3 linked regions of the Drosophila melanogaster genome follow. The protein of the gene in region 1 interacts with the protein of each later gene in a pairwise test. Each region holds a gene or a part of one and is shown on either strand. Other genes may lie near its edges. The genes, in order: PAN3, CycK and PAN2.

What was found.
Region 2: the proteins of PAN3 (region 1) and CycK interact in a two-hybrid assay, tested with the Drosophila melanogaster proteins (3 studies listed by BioGRID).
Region 3: the proteins of PAN3 (region 1) and PAN2 interact in binary tests that used the Drosophila melanogaster proteins (3 or more experiments, as listed by UniProt).

What each region holds. Positions count from the first base shown.
Region 1 is NT_037436.4:3,068,992-3,072,745, forward strand, and holds the start of PAN3 (Poly(A) specific ribonuclease subunit PAN3), read left to right. Parts: upstream 1-2,141; 5' UTR 2,142-2,316; intron 2,317-3,555; exon of another isoform or gene 3,556-3,754. Other genes in the region: CG32486 (uncharacterized protein), read right to left, coding at 1,171-1,548. UniProt on the Drosophila melanogaster protein: Regulatory subunit of the poly(A)-nuclease (PAN) deadenylation complex, one of two cytoplasmic mRNA deadenylases involved in general and miRNA-mediated mRNA turnover.
Region 2 is NT_033779.5:22,128,445-22,132,198, forward strand, and holds the start of CycK (cyclin K), read right to left. Parts: upstream 1,699-3,754; 5' UTR 1,280-1,698; coding exon 77-1,279; 3' UTR 1-76.
Region 3 is NT_033778.4:8,926,169-8,929,922, reverse strand, and holds the start of PAN2 (Poly(A)-binding protein-dependent poly(A) ribonuclease 2), read right to left. Parts: upstream 1,755-3,754; 5' UTR 1,624-1,754; coding exon 1,569-1,623; intron 1,466-1,568; coding exon 1,275-1,465; intron 1,215-1,274; coding exon 1,045-1,214; intron 988-1,044; coding exon 1-987. Other genes in the region: AIMP1 (aaRS-interacting multifunctional protein 1), read left to right, coding at 1,824-1,982, 2,039-2,851; CG8237 (uncharacterized protein), read right to left, coding at 3,184-3,754. UniProt on the Drosophila melanogaster protein: Catalytic subunit of the poly(A)-nuclease (PAN) deadenylation complex, one of two cytoplasmic mRNA deadenylases involved in general and miRNA-mediated mRNA turnover.

The sequences.
Region 1 (3,754 bases):
CTTCGCATTCAACGTGAACAAACTGAAGGTATCCCTAACAAACGGCTCCGAGCTCTCAATAATGGGGTCAGCCATCATCAGATACATTAACGAAACAATACAGATTAACGGTATCGATTACGACGGCACGGTTGACACGTTCCCTGAACAGACGGATTTTGATCTTCCCCCCATGCGAAAAGTAACTAGGAATACCACTATTACGGTACTAAGCCTAGAAAAACTGCACCTCGAAGCCACCCAAACAATGGATAAAATCCTGGCCGTCCATCACAATACTATACAGCACACCTGGACACTCTACACTCTGCTCGGATTGGTAACGTTCCTAGCAGTCATCTTATGGCTGCACCGACGAACGAAACACATCGTCCACATCCACGAGGATCATCACGTACCAATCTACGCGTCATCCATACCTTCGCTATGGCCGTCACTTCGAACTGGGGGGGGAGGAGTTACCACCCCACCCCCTAAACCCCCACGCCTCTAAACAAATCATCGGACACTCAACCGGGAAGACGGCAACTGGAACACCGCATCCGGCCGAATGCTGACATTCCGGCCGAATGCTGACATTACACAAAAGTCGCACTGCAACATTGTCCCCAGCTAGCCAGCCACATGCCGAGTCGGCATGTTCATTATGCTTACAATTAAGAACCTATGTACTTATGTATAAGACGAAAACGGAGGACTCGAGTAGCCACTCTCTGACAATAAACTTCATACTGATTTTGAACTTCAAGAAAGTCAGTCGTATTCTTTATTGGAAATCTTCACACTACAACTATCTGCTGAAACTTAAAAACCTTCATACATTTACACATCATATCTTCACAAAAGGCTCCACCCTCGATCACGGACTTAACTCCCGCCCTCGCTCCCCCTCGCACTCTTTCAATGTTTTCAAGGCGAATAATGCAAGAGCGCCCCAGCTAGACGTCTCGCTCTCGCACAGCTGTGTCTTGCTAGGGTGGAGAGAGGGAGAGAGGTGTTTTACTCTTACAGCTGAGCTGCCACGATTTGTTTGTATACAGAATGAGGCGCACACACACACGCGCACTTGCTGTTTTTCTTCTTTCGCTTTTAAAGCTCTTACTTCCTTTTTTTGATTCTAGTTTACAAGGGCTTATAGTTCAAGCCGCTGTAAATAATCCAAAAACTCACCTGGTACATGGCCGTCTTGGGCAAATCCAGGCAGACGGCACAGCACAGGGCATTGGAGATGCGGTGGGCCAGCTTTTCGTGCATTCCCGAGGCGGCTGCGGCACTGGAAAGCAAGCTGCTGCCGCTGCTGCTGGTGGCACCACCGCCCCCTCCGTCCAACAACTGTTTCTTGGCCGGCGGTTCTCCGCTGCCCTGCGTGTCCAGCGGCACGCCCACCACATTGCCGCCGCCCACCGACGAGGAGGACGACGATGTGGAAGAGGAAGAGGCCGAGGAGGCGGAGCTGGTCGTGGCCACCGCCTGGTTGTCGCCCAGGAGCGGTAGGTTCGAGGACGACGGCGGCTGTTGGACCGCCGAACTGGAGGATTCCACCGACATGATTGGAAATTTTCTTGGAATAATGTTTGTTGTGTTTTTCTTTGCCACTCGCTTCGTACACAAACTCCCACACACACGACCACTAAACTACTACACACACACAAGCAATACCCAGTTTGCTCTCTCTCTCTTTCGCTCGCACACTAAGTATGGCACTTTCTTTCAATTGCCACCTTTCCCCGCTGTCCGTGTCGTGTCGTTCTCTTCTGTGTTCTTCCGTTCTGTTCTGTTTGCAAGCTTTTTGTCCGCCGACACGTCCGCTCGCCAAAAAATTTGTTGTCTTTCTAGAGAGTGTTGTGCGGTGTGACCAAATCTTATATTAGGCAAAATACTAGTATAACGTATCGATGTTATTGGCAAAGCCTATCGATGTTTTTCTATTGTCTGTGTTTCTCCAGCCCTGGTTGATCGTTAGCAGGGACACCATCCCCTTTACAAAGTAATAAAATAACAAATATTATTAAATTAACCATTTCAAAATAAAATAGCATTAAAATAATATAGCAAAATCTGCCTTCATATATATAATTTTACAAGTATATTATTGAAAACGAATCCATTCGTGTTTAATGTGCTGCCCTTATATCCGGCAGTACGGAACTCGTCACTCGCGAGATGCGGTCACACTGCTTGCGGCAAACGGAAAACATGTAAGAAATTAAATATTGTGATTTTGTCTTTAAAATGTACAAAAGTTTGACAAAACACAAACGGCAGGTTCTTTATGAAGTCACCTCTCGCAAAGTGAACTATGACTGGTCAGTGGAGGTACGGAAAACGTGGATTAAAGAGCGAAAAATCGCAGTTTTCTCAGCAGACATTTTTGTATCACTTCGCTGTGCGCTGTGTGTTTGGCATTTTTTGTGTTTGTGTGTGTGTGTGCAACAGCGGCATCAATTTGAAAAATAACAAAAACAAATCGTTGGCGTGTTGAACAAAAAACTATACGTATTTGCTATCTGGCTTGCGTTATAAGAACCATTTGGACAAATTGCGTCTTAAAAATTTGGTGACCAAGATGGCTTCAATTTCATTTTCGGTGGTGAATTAAAAACTTTAATGAAAATAAAAACTTAATGAATTGACTTTTAATTCACGTGCAATTATTATGAAAATTTTTGAAAATTAAAATAAAAATATTTCCAAAAACGTTGTAACAAAACTACACTTATAAATTGGCTTTTGGCTTGCTTAGTGAACTTAGTTAATTATTTCCAGCTGTTCCCACTCAAAAAACAAATCGTATACATATGTGTTCTTATTTCCTTTGCTCCTGCTTTTTCTCTTCCCCTTCTTTTCGTTCCCTTCCCCTTTGCGTCCTCTTCCCCTTTTCCTAGCCAGCTGTTTGTCGCGTTCCACAAATATGGCTGGAGTGTGGATCGCGTTTGGAGCCCAGGCTCCCACATTTCTCTATGTGGAACGCAACCTGTGGCCAGCTGTTGGGTCCTGTTGAACTCCCCCCAGCCAAAAACTTACATATGTATATGTATTTATTTTGTGTATATATGCATGTGTGTATAACAACGCCAATTGCTAGGGTTTCTGCAAAACGTCCTGGCCACTTGAAGGTGAAGTGTTACAATACCATAAAGGGGTTTCGCCATTTTTAAAAGTTATTTTATTACATTATATTCAATAATGGAACTTCAGTAGCGTGTCAAAGGATTTCTCTTTGAAAGAATACGTATTTCATATCCAGCATTTATCAGCTGAAAAACATGAGGGACTTTATACAATCTGTTAAATTTCTTTGCATAAAATGATATATATGTTAATTAAAATTATTAACAATAGCTAAAGTCCATGTAACCCCTTGAGCGCGGATGTTTTCCCAACACTCCTCGAATGGAATCCACATCCACTTTGTTGCACACACAGCTGGCAGTTGTTGTTTTTATCCGACCTCCTGTGCACACACACACACAGACGGACGTACATGTATACAACACTCGGGGGTCGTTTGTGGACTCCATTTGGCTTGGCTGTTGGATCTTCTTTGCGTTTTCTTCATTCGTGCAGCGCCAATCGCGCGGTGTGTGTGTTGCGTTTTTCTTATTTGCAAAATCGTTGGAAAATGGTAATGAAAATGTATACAATATAGCAACAGCAGCTCCTTTCAAGGAAATATCCTCATTAAAGTAATTACGGTACTGAAAGCAATTCAAAAGCTAACAATGAAACAGGCAATTAACTACACAATATGTTG
Region 2 (3,754 bases), on another chromosome or scaffold:
TCTAAATCCTATTCCGAACGGTTCGCTAGTTTTAATATACAAATTTTTTTTACTTGTTTATTAGTCATTGCATCTACTAGTAGCGCTGCTGCGATGGACGCCCACCGGCGTTGTAGTATCCACTGGCTCCTGGAGGCAAGCTAGGCGGCATTGGTGGTGGTGGTGCAGCGCTCCCGCTATAGTGTCCGACCACTGTCTGCTGGACTCCCCATCCGGAAGAGGGGTACGGCGGCATAGGCACTACCGGCGGGGGCGGCGGTGGAGGAGCATGATAAATGTGGTACCCGGATGGCTGACCTGGTGGTGTTGGGCCCTGTAACAGGTTCTGGGAGTCGCTAGGACCAATGATTGGCACGCCACTGGCTAGGGATTTAATGCTCTGAATGTTGCTAACTTCCAGCACGCCACCGTTGCCACATACGGGGGGCGGCGGCTGTTGTGGAACGGAAAGTGGTCCAATACCCGTAGAATTGGTAAGCTTGCCGGATTTTGGACTGTCGGCTCTGCTTGGTGGCTTTTGGGGCGGACTGGTTGGCTGGAGCGCTTCTTTTTGGGTTGATTGGTACAGGTCCAGAACTTGGTGGCAGATGTCTTCGAGTATTTCCATCGTTACATCAGACACAAACATATCCCACCAACGCTGCTGCTGTGGCTGGCGGCCCTCCCAGTCTTGCACAGTGAATTTGCTTAGCTTGCTGGCCAAATGGATAAGAGCCACGGCGATAATCTCCGGCTCCCACTGTAGACAAACTACTGTGCTGAGAGAGTCGTTGACGAAGTTCCACGCCATTTGCACCATCTTTTGCAGCTTCTGCTGGTCGCCTTTGAAACACTTAGCGTACTTTAGGAGAAAGGTGTAAGGATGCTCTACTTGCAAATCGAATTTGATGGTCTGCAGCAGAATACGCTCTAGCGTCATCACCTCCTCCTTAGGGTCGTCGCCAAACGAGTAGAAGTAATTGTCGGTAAGGATGCCACGCGCAGTTTTAATAATGTCGCGACACTTCTTTGGCGTCTCCTCCACCTTGCCAGCAAAGAACAGGCAGCAGCACGCAGTCACGTACCGGGGGAAACTCCGGAACGAATGAAACATGTAAAATCGGTGAAAATATACAACGCCGGTGGCCATCGTGTTGTGGCCCAAGCCCATTTTGGTGCCACATTCCATAATAAATCGAGCACCTTCTTTTCTGTACCGCCGCTCCGTTTCGAAGCTTATTCCATCCAAGATCGAGGGCGTCTCCCGCAGCTCCTTTTTGTCGTAATACCAGCACGGCATCGCGGCAATTTAGGCTGCGGGTACTACCAGTAGTCCGCGTCGTTGGAAGGAATTTGTGTTAAACCTTTAGCCAAATGGTTGTCAGCATATGCGCGTCCTGGAGCCGATAAGCGCTTTTGTTTATTGTAAATAAATCAGTTTTCGATTTTTATGTTCACTTGCAGTGTTACCATGTCTACGACGATGAAGAAAAAAACTTTATTGGAAGCCCCTTTTACACCAAGACCACGACGATTTTGAGTATATGGAACAACTTTATTGGTAAATAGATAACGCAAAAATTTTCGATCTCTTGCGGGTCAAACTGAATATTTTTTGTGCGTTTGCTAGTTTTGGTGACTTAATTTTGGGATATAATTAAACAGATATATTTACACGTGGTTTTGGCCGTCCTTTGACTGTTACGAGGAACAAATGGGATGTTTACACTGGAATCGCATTTCCATGTTTTGGAGATATCAAACCAAGCATAGGGATTAGTGATGGGAATTGCGCAATTTGTTTTGTTGTTAAATGGTATATTGAAATAATTCATTATGTATAATCCTACTGGATAACAAGTATTTCAATTTAAAGCATAGATAGCATTCGTTAAACATTATAAAATGTAATAACAAGATTATGAGCAGTGTAAGCGCTTTCTATTTAATAGTAATTACTTCTAGTAATGTGGTGATGAATTTATTATAACCGTTAGTCGTATTTTCGTATTCCGACCATTTAAGGTATATATATTCTTGATCAGGACCAATATCCTAGTCGATCTGACTATAATTTAATTAGTCTTTTTAATTTCTATCGATTTGTCAATAAAATTTTTGCCACGCGCACTCTAACGCCCTAATGCCACACTTTGGAACAATTTTGAAATTTTTTATCATTTTATATCCCATTATCTATCGATATTCCATAAAATTGATGCAATTTCGCGTTTGTATTCACACTAGCTGGTAACGGTTATTTGATAGCCTTGGAACTCGACTATAGTATTCTTTCTTTTATTATTAATATAAACGCGAGTGATGGCACTATAATTTTATTATGTTTCTATATTTTTTATGTTTCTATAATGTGTGTTAAATTCTTAAAAATCGATATATATCACTCAAATTACATAATAATGGAAAACCGAAACGTGAGCTTGATAGAGCGAAACAACCAAATCAGTCGAGATGCTTCTTTTTAACGTAGAAAATGTTATGTATATTTTTCTTTGAATCATGCACTTAGGCTAGTGAACATATTTTCAAACCTTACCGCTCAAGTGATCATTGACTTAAATAAAATTTTACAAAACTCAAAGAACATCCAGCAGCACGCAGACACGTATCAGGGGAAACTCAAGAATGAATGAAACACGTAAAATCGGTGAAAATATACAACGCCGGTGGGGATCGTATTGTTTTAATAATATTATATTTTTTAATGAAGTACAGATAATATGGAATTGACTTTGATTGAATTTAAAAATGTATATTAAAATTTATCAGTGATAACAAACATTTTATATTTCTTTCACCAAGTGATTCAGTATATGTATACAATTCTAGTATTTTAACTTCTATTTAACGAGCACTTAGGGAATGTGAATTTCCGTCATTCGACTGCGCCAATTGCATGCTAAGTATTTGGTTGCGGTTAACAACCAAGGCCGGAGTACCCCCAACGTTGAAAACTATCTACGTCTCACAAGACAAGCAATTACGATCTCGAACTTCAAAAAGGTAAACAAACCCAAATGTTGTGCAAATTCTAACGTTTGATCACCCCTGATCGCAGATTCCGTCTATGCGGATTGTGTTGTTATCCTGGGAAAGCTACAAATACCGCGTATAAATTTGCTATATTCGTAATTGGGTTCGAAGCTAAGCGATGCCCAGCCTACCAGTTCGGCGTACACGGAAGGATTCCCAATTGGAGAACGATGACGATCTTGGTCGTATTGCCCAAATTTATCCCACCTATGCTACACTCAGGTAGATATTTTTGGATCAGCCGCAAATTTCCTGGCTTGGCTATGTCAAATGACTTAATCGACATTTGATTTCACGGTTTTATTTATACGGACATACATACATGTATTTCATATTTTAAAATATACATATTTGCCTTATTTAAAAAATAATAATTAATGCTTACTGACTAGTACCTTCCGATTTTGTTTAAAATAAACACGTAATTATTATCTCCTAAAACTAGTGCAGGCTCACAATTACCACCTGCCTTTCAAAAATGACTTAAAGATAAAGAAATGTGAAAAATTCATTTACTCACTAATTTGAAACTTAAACTAATAATATACACACATTTGTAATATTTTAAGCATAAGAAAAGTTAGTATGCATTCAATTTTATTGTTTGTGCATTAATATGTAGTTATTTTTACGCTTTTAGGTATTTAAATATAGTCCGACATCAAATTAAAACAAGAGAGGACGCAATAATCAAGTTGCCCGACTATTACATATCCGTTAC
Region 3 (3,754 bases), on another chromosome or scaffold:
GCCTTGGTCGCCGCCGCAGTTCCATTTCCGTTCGGACTGCACACGCCGCCCTGCTCAATCACGTACGGAATTTGATTACGACGGGCGGTGCGTGGGTTTGGCGAGTATCCAATCGGTCCCTGCATTTTCATGTTGCTCAGCACTTCGGGATCAATGGTCTTGGGCCTGTGGTAGCGGTAGCGCAGCAGTTCCTCCGGCCAATCTGAGAACCATTGTGTGCCCGTCGTCAAGTGCGGTAGCATGACCGACGATAGCGGAAAGTTGGTGTCCGTAATGGAGACCATCGGCAGCTGTGGCACCACGTCCGCAAACTCTGTGCTTCGCGAGTAGAGATTGAACTGCGGCTGAGGCGTTTGTACAGCGGCAATCATGTTGATGTGGCCCGACTGGTCCCCAAATGCCATGGCCTGTGAAGAGGAGCTAATGTCGAAGCTGAGGCACTGGCTGCCGTTGGTGTTGATCTGGTACATGGATACTCGCGGCTCGCTGAGCTCCACAGTGTCCACCAGCTGAACCTGGCCGTAGCTGGACACGACGGCCAGTTGGGATGTCAGCGATGGCAGGAACTTCAACATCTGCGGATCAATCATCACTTGAATGGGCGCGATCAGGCGCAGCATGCGCAGATCGTAGACCATTAGGAAGCGGTCGATGGCCAGGTTATTTTGCCTTCCGCTGTAGCCGCAAGAGATTAGCAGATTTCCCTGGACACTGAAGTCCGAAAGGATGTTGGTGTGCGTCTTGATTGTGTGCTGAACACTCAGGCTGTTCAGGTCGCGCAACGTTACCGTTCCCAGCTGGTCGCCGGCAAACAGATAACGTGAATTCTTGCGTAGCACCGTGCATCCGCCGGCACCCACATGCTCTATGCGGGTTTCCTTGAGCGTGCGCAGGTCGAAGTCGATAAGCTCGTCCTGCAGTCCGGCCATGACCAGACGATGCGGTGATAGCTGCAGCATGCTCACCATCTCCTTCATGTTGTTCGATCTGCAAGAAATTGAAACCTCACTTTCGGGGAATCTTTGTGCCAGCGCGGTGGCTTACTTGAAGGTAAACTTGGGCAGACCCCTGCGGATCTGATGACGCAGCGAGGTCTGCGTGAGCGCCAGCACTCCGGAGTCCAGGGTGGAGATGTCGCGCACAATGTCGGTGGCGTGGACCTGAAAGGATGTGTACTTCTGCATGGAGTTTGTGTAGTACGATGTGACGTGGCCCTGCGGGAAGGAGCGAAGATTCAGGATTAGTAAGCCTGGCAGGCTGGACGAGGAACTCACGCCCTGGTTGCCCATCCACAGCAGCTCTTCGTAGTCGTCGAACGCCACGCTGGAAACGCCGAAGTGCTCCCCGCCGTCGGCAAGCACGGGCACAAGCTCCACATATTCCGGATCGGTGGTGCCGATGTTGAATCCATTGAAGCTGGGCGAAAAGTGCCCGTTTCCCGGCGCAGATCCCGCGTCATAAACACCTTTTCAAAAAGTAAACAGAAAACAAAGGAGAAAGCTTTAGCTGGCTTGCGTGTGTGTGTGCGTGTGGGTGAGCGTTGGCCCCAAAGCGACCCCTTGACCCACTTAGTATGTCTTCGGAGGCCCCGATGGGGTCGGTGCCGCAATACACGTAATCCATCTGCCGCACGCCGATGCCCACGCGACTTTTTATTGTTTATTTTTTAACAAATTTCGCTCAAAACTGCCAGCCGTTTTTGCGTTGCACCGATTAGAGTGACCCTGGCAGGGCTGATGTAAAAATACTCTCGCTTCTCCGCCAACGAACTACCTGTCCAACGCTGCGCGACGCCACTGTGCGTGGCAAGAAGAAGCACTGCAATGCTGCGTAGAGCTGCCACGACTGTGGGATCCGCATGTAAAAATTACGGCCAGAATTGCTCAAAATTCGCGAGAAACAAAAGAACAATGGCCGATCTGCAGCAGATTGCAAGCAACAACGAGCGCGCCGAGGCGCTGATCAACTCCATTGAAGCCGAGGCAAGTATTTCCGCCTGCCAGCGCCTGCGAACACTCGATAACCTACTGCCCCCCAGATTTCCGGCATCCAGCAGCAACTTGTGGAGCGCCAGAAGCAGGAGCTGATCAAGGAGAACGCTGCACTGGCCAAGGAAGTTGAGGCGGCTTTGGCCCAGCTGGTGCAGCTGGAGCTGCGAAATGGCAAGAAACAGATTCCGGTGCCTGGAGCCCGGGGTTTCTGCACCAGTGCGGCCCCAGTAGTTATGCCGGCAGAGGCTGGACCTGCTACCGCTGCACCCGCTGCCCCGGCTCCTAAGCCGGCCAAGGAGCCCAAGGAAAAGAAGTCCAAGGAGAAGAAACCGGCCGCCGAGAAGCCCGCCGCCGCTCCGGAGGCTCCCGTCGACGTCGGTCGCCTGGATTTACGCGTGGGCAAGATTGTGGAGGTGGGTCGCCATCCCGACGCCGACAGCTTGTATCTGGAGAAGATCGACTGCGGCGAGGCGGCTCCACGCACCGTGGTGTCCGGTCTGGTGAAGTTCGTGCCCCTGGAAGAGATGCAGAACCGTCTGGTAGTGGTCATGTGTAACCTGAAGCCGGCCAAAATGCGCGGCGTCACCTCGGAGGCTATGGTCATGTGCGCATCTACACCGGAAAAAGTGGAAGTGCTCAGTCCGCCCGCCGGAGCTGTTCCCGGCGACCTGGTTCACTGCGAGGGCTATCCGCGCCAGCCAGACGCCCAGCTCAACCCCAAGAAGAAGATCTTTGAGTCGTGCGCCCCGGATCTGAAGACCAACGGCGAACTGGTTGCCTGCTACAAGGGCGCCGCTCTCCATGTTCCTGGCAAGGGCAACGTGGTGGCCCAAACCCTGAAGAACGTCAATGTGAAGTGAGCCAATAAACGAAACTAAAGCTTTGAGCCAATAAACGAAACATCACCGCCTGCACACCATTTCAGTATCAGAACTTCATTATCATTCAGTTTCTAGTACCAGTGAAGAGTAGCTCTACAGGAATATCGGAAGCTCTACTGATCATTGGGATTACTGGTTATGTTTGATTATCGTGCAGATTCTGAGGTATTCATGTGATATTTTATTTTATTTCACACGACAGCAGTACATAACGACATTAAATTTATCATTAACAAGTCTATTTATATGTGCATAGGAAGTGCATAGGAGTGCGCCATTCCTACACACTTTGGCTGGTTTAAGTGCCGTCCTCAGCGATTATTGCGCTGCGCTTGCCCTTGGGTGCGGAACACGGCAATGGAATTGCTCTCCACCACAATCGTTTTGGTTAGGACGTCGTAGGCGGTGCGATTGTTCTTGAAGAAGACCATCAACACGCAAATGGGGAAGAGCAGGGTCATCCCCAGGTTCTTGATCAGCGCGCGGGCGAAGGAGCGCATCAGCGAGGGAGTCTGTGGCGGATAAAGCAGAGCCCTCATCGGCTCCCTCTGCGGCTGGAGGACGAACTGTGGAAGGGGCGGCCCCTGAAGCGGCATCACTGCTTCCACATAGTATATGCGTATCTTCATCAGCGACTTGCCCGGCGTAGCCCCTTGGTATAGGTATGTCCACAGCGCTTCGTAGCAGCAAACGATGAACTTGGTCAGCATTTCGATTAGCAGGAGGTCGGTGGACATCGAAATAAAATCTAGTGATGTGTCAAAGAAGTTCGAAAAGAGGTCTTCTTGGTCCAGGGTGCGCCGAATCACGTCCTCATCGAACTCTATGTTGAACAGGTTGACCACCCCGAAGGTAATGATGATTTTCACAATGAAAAGGATG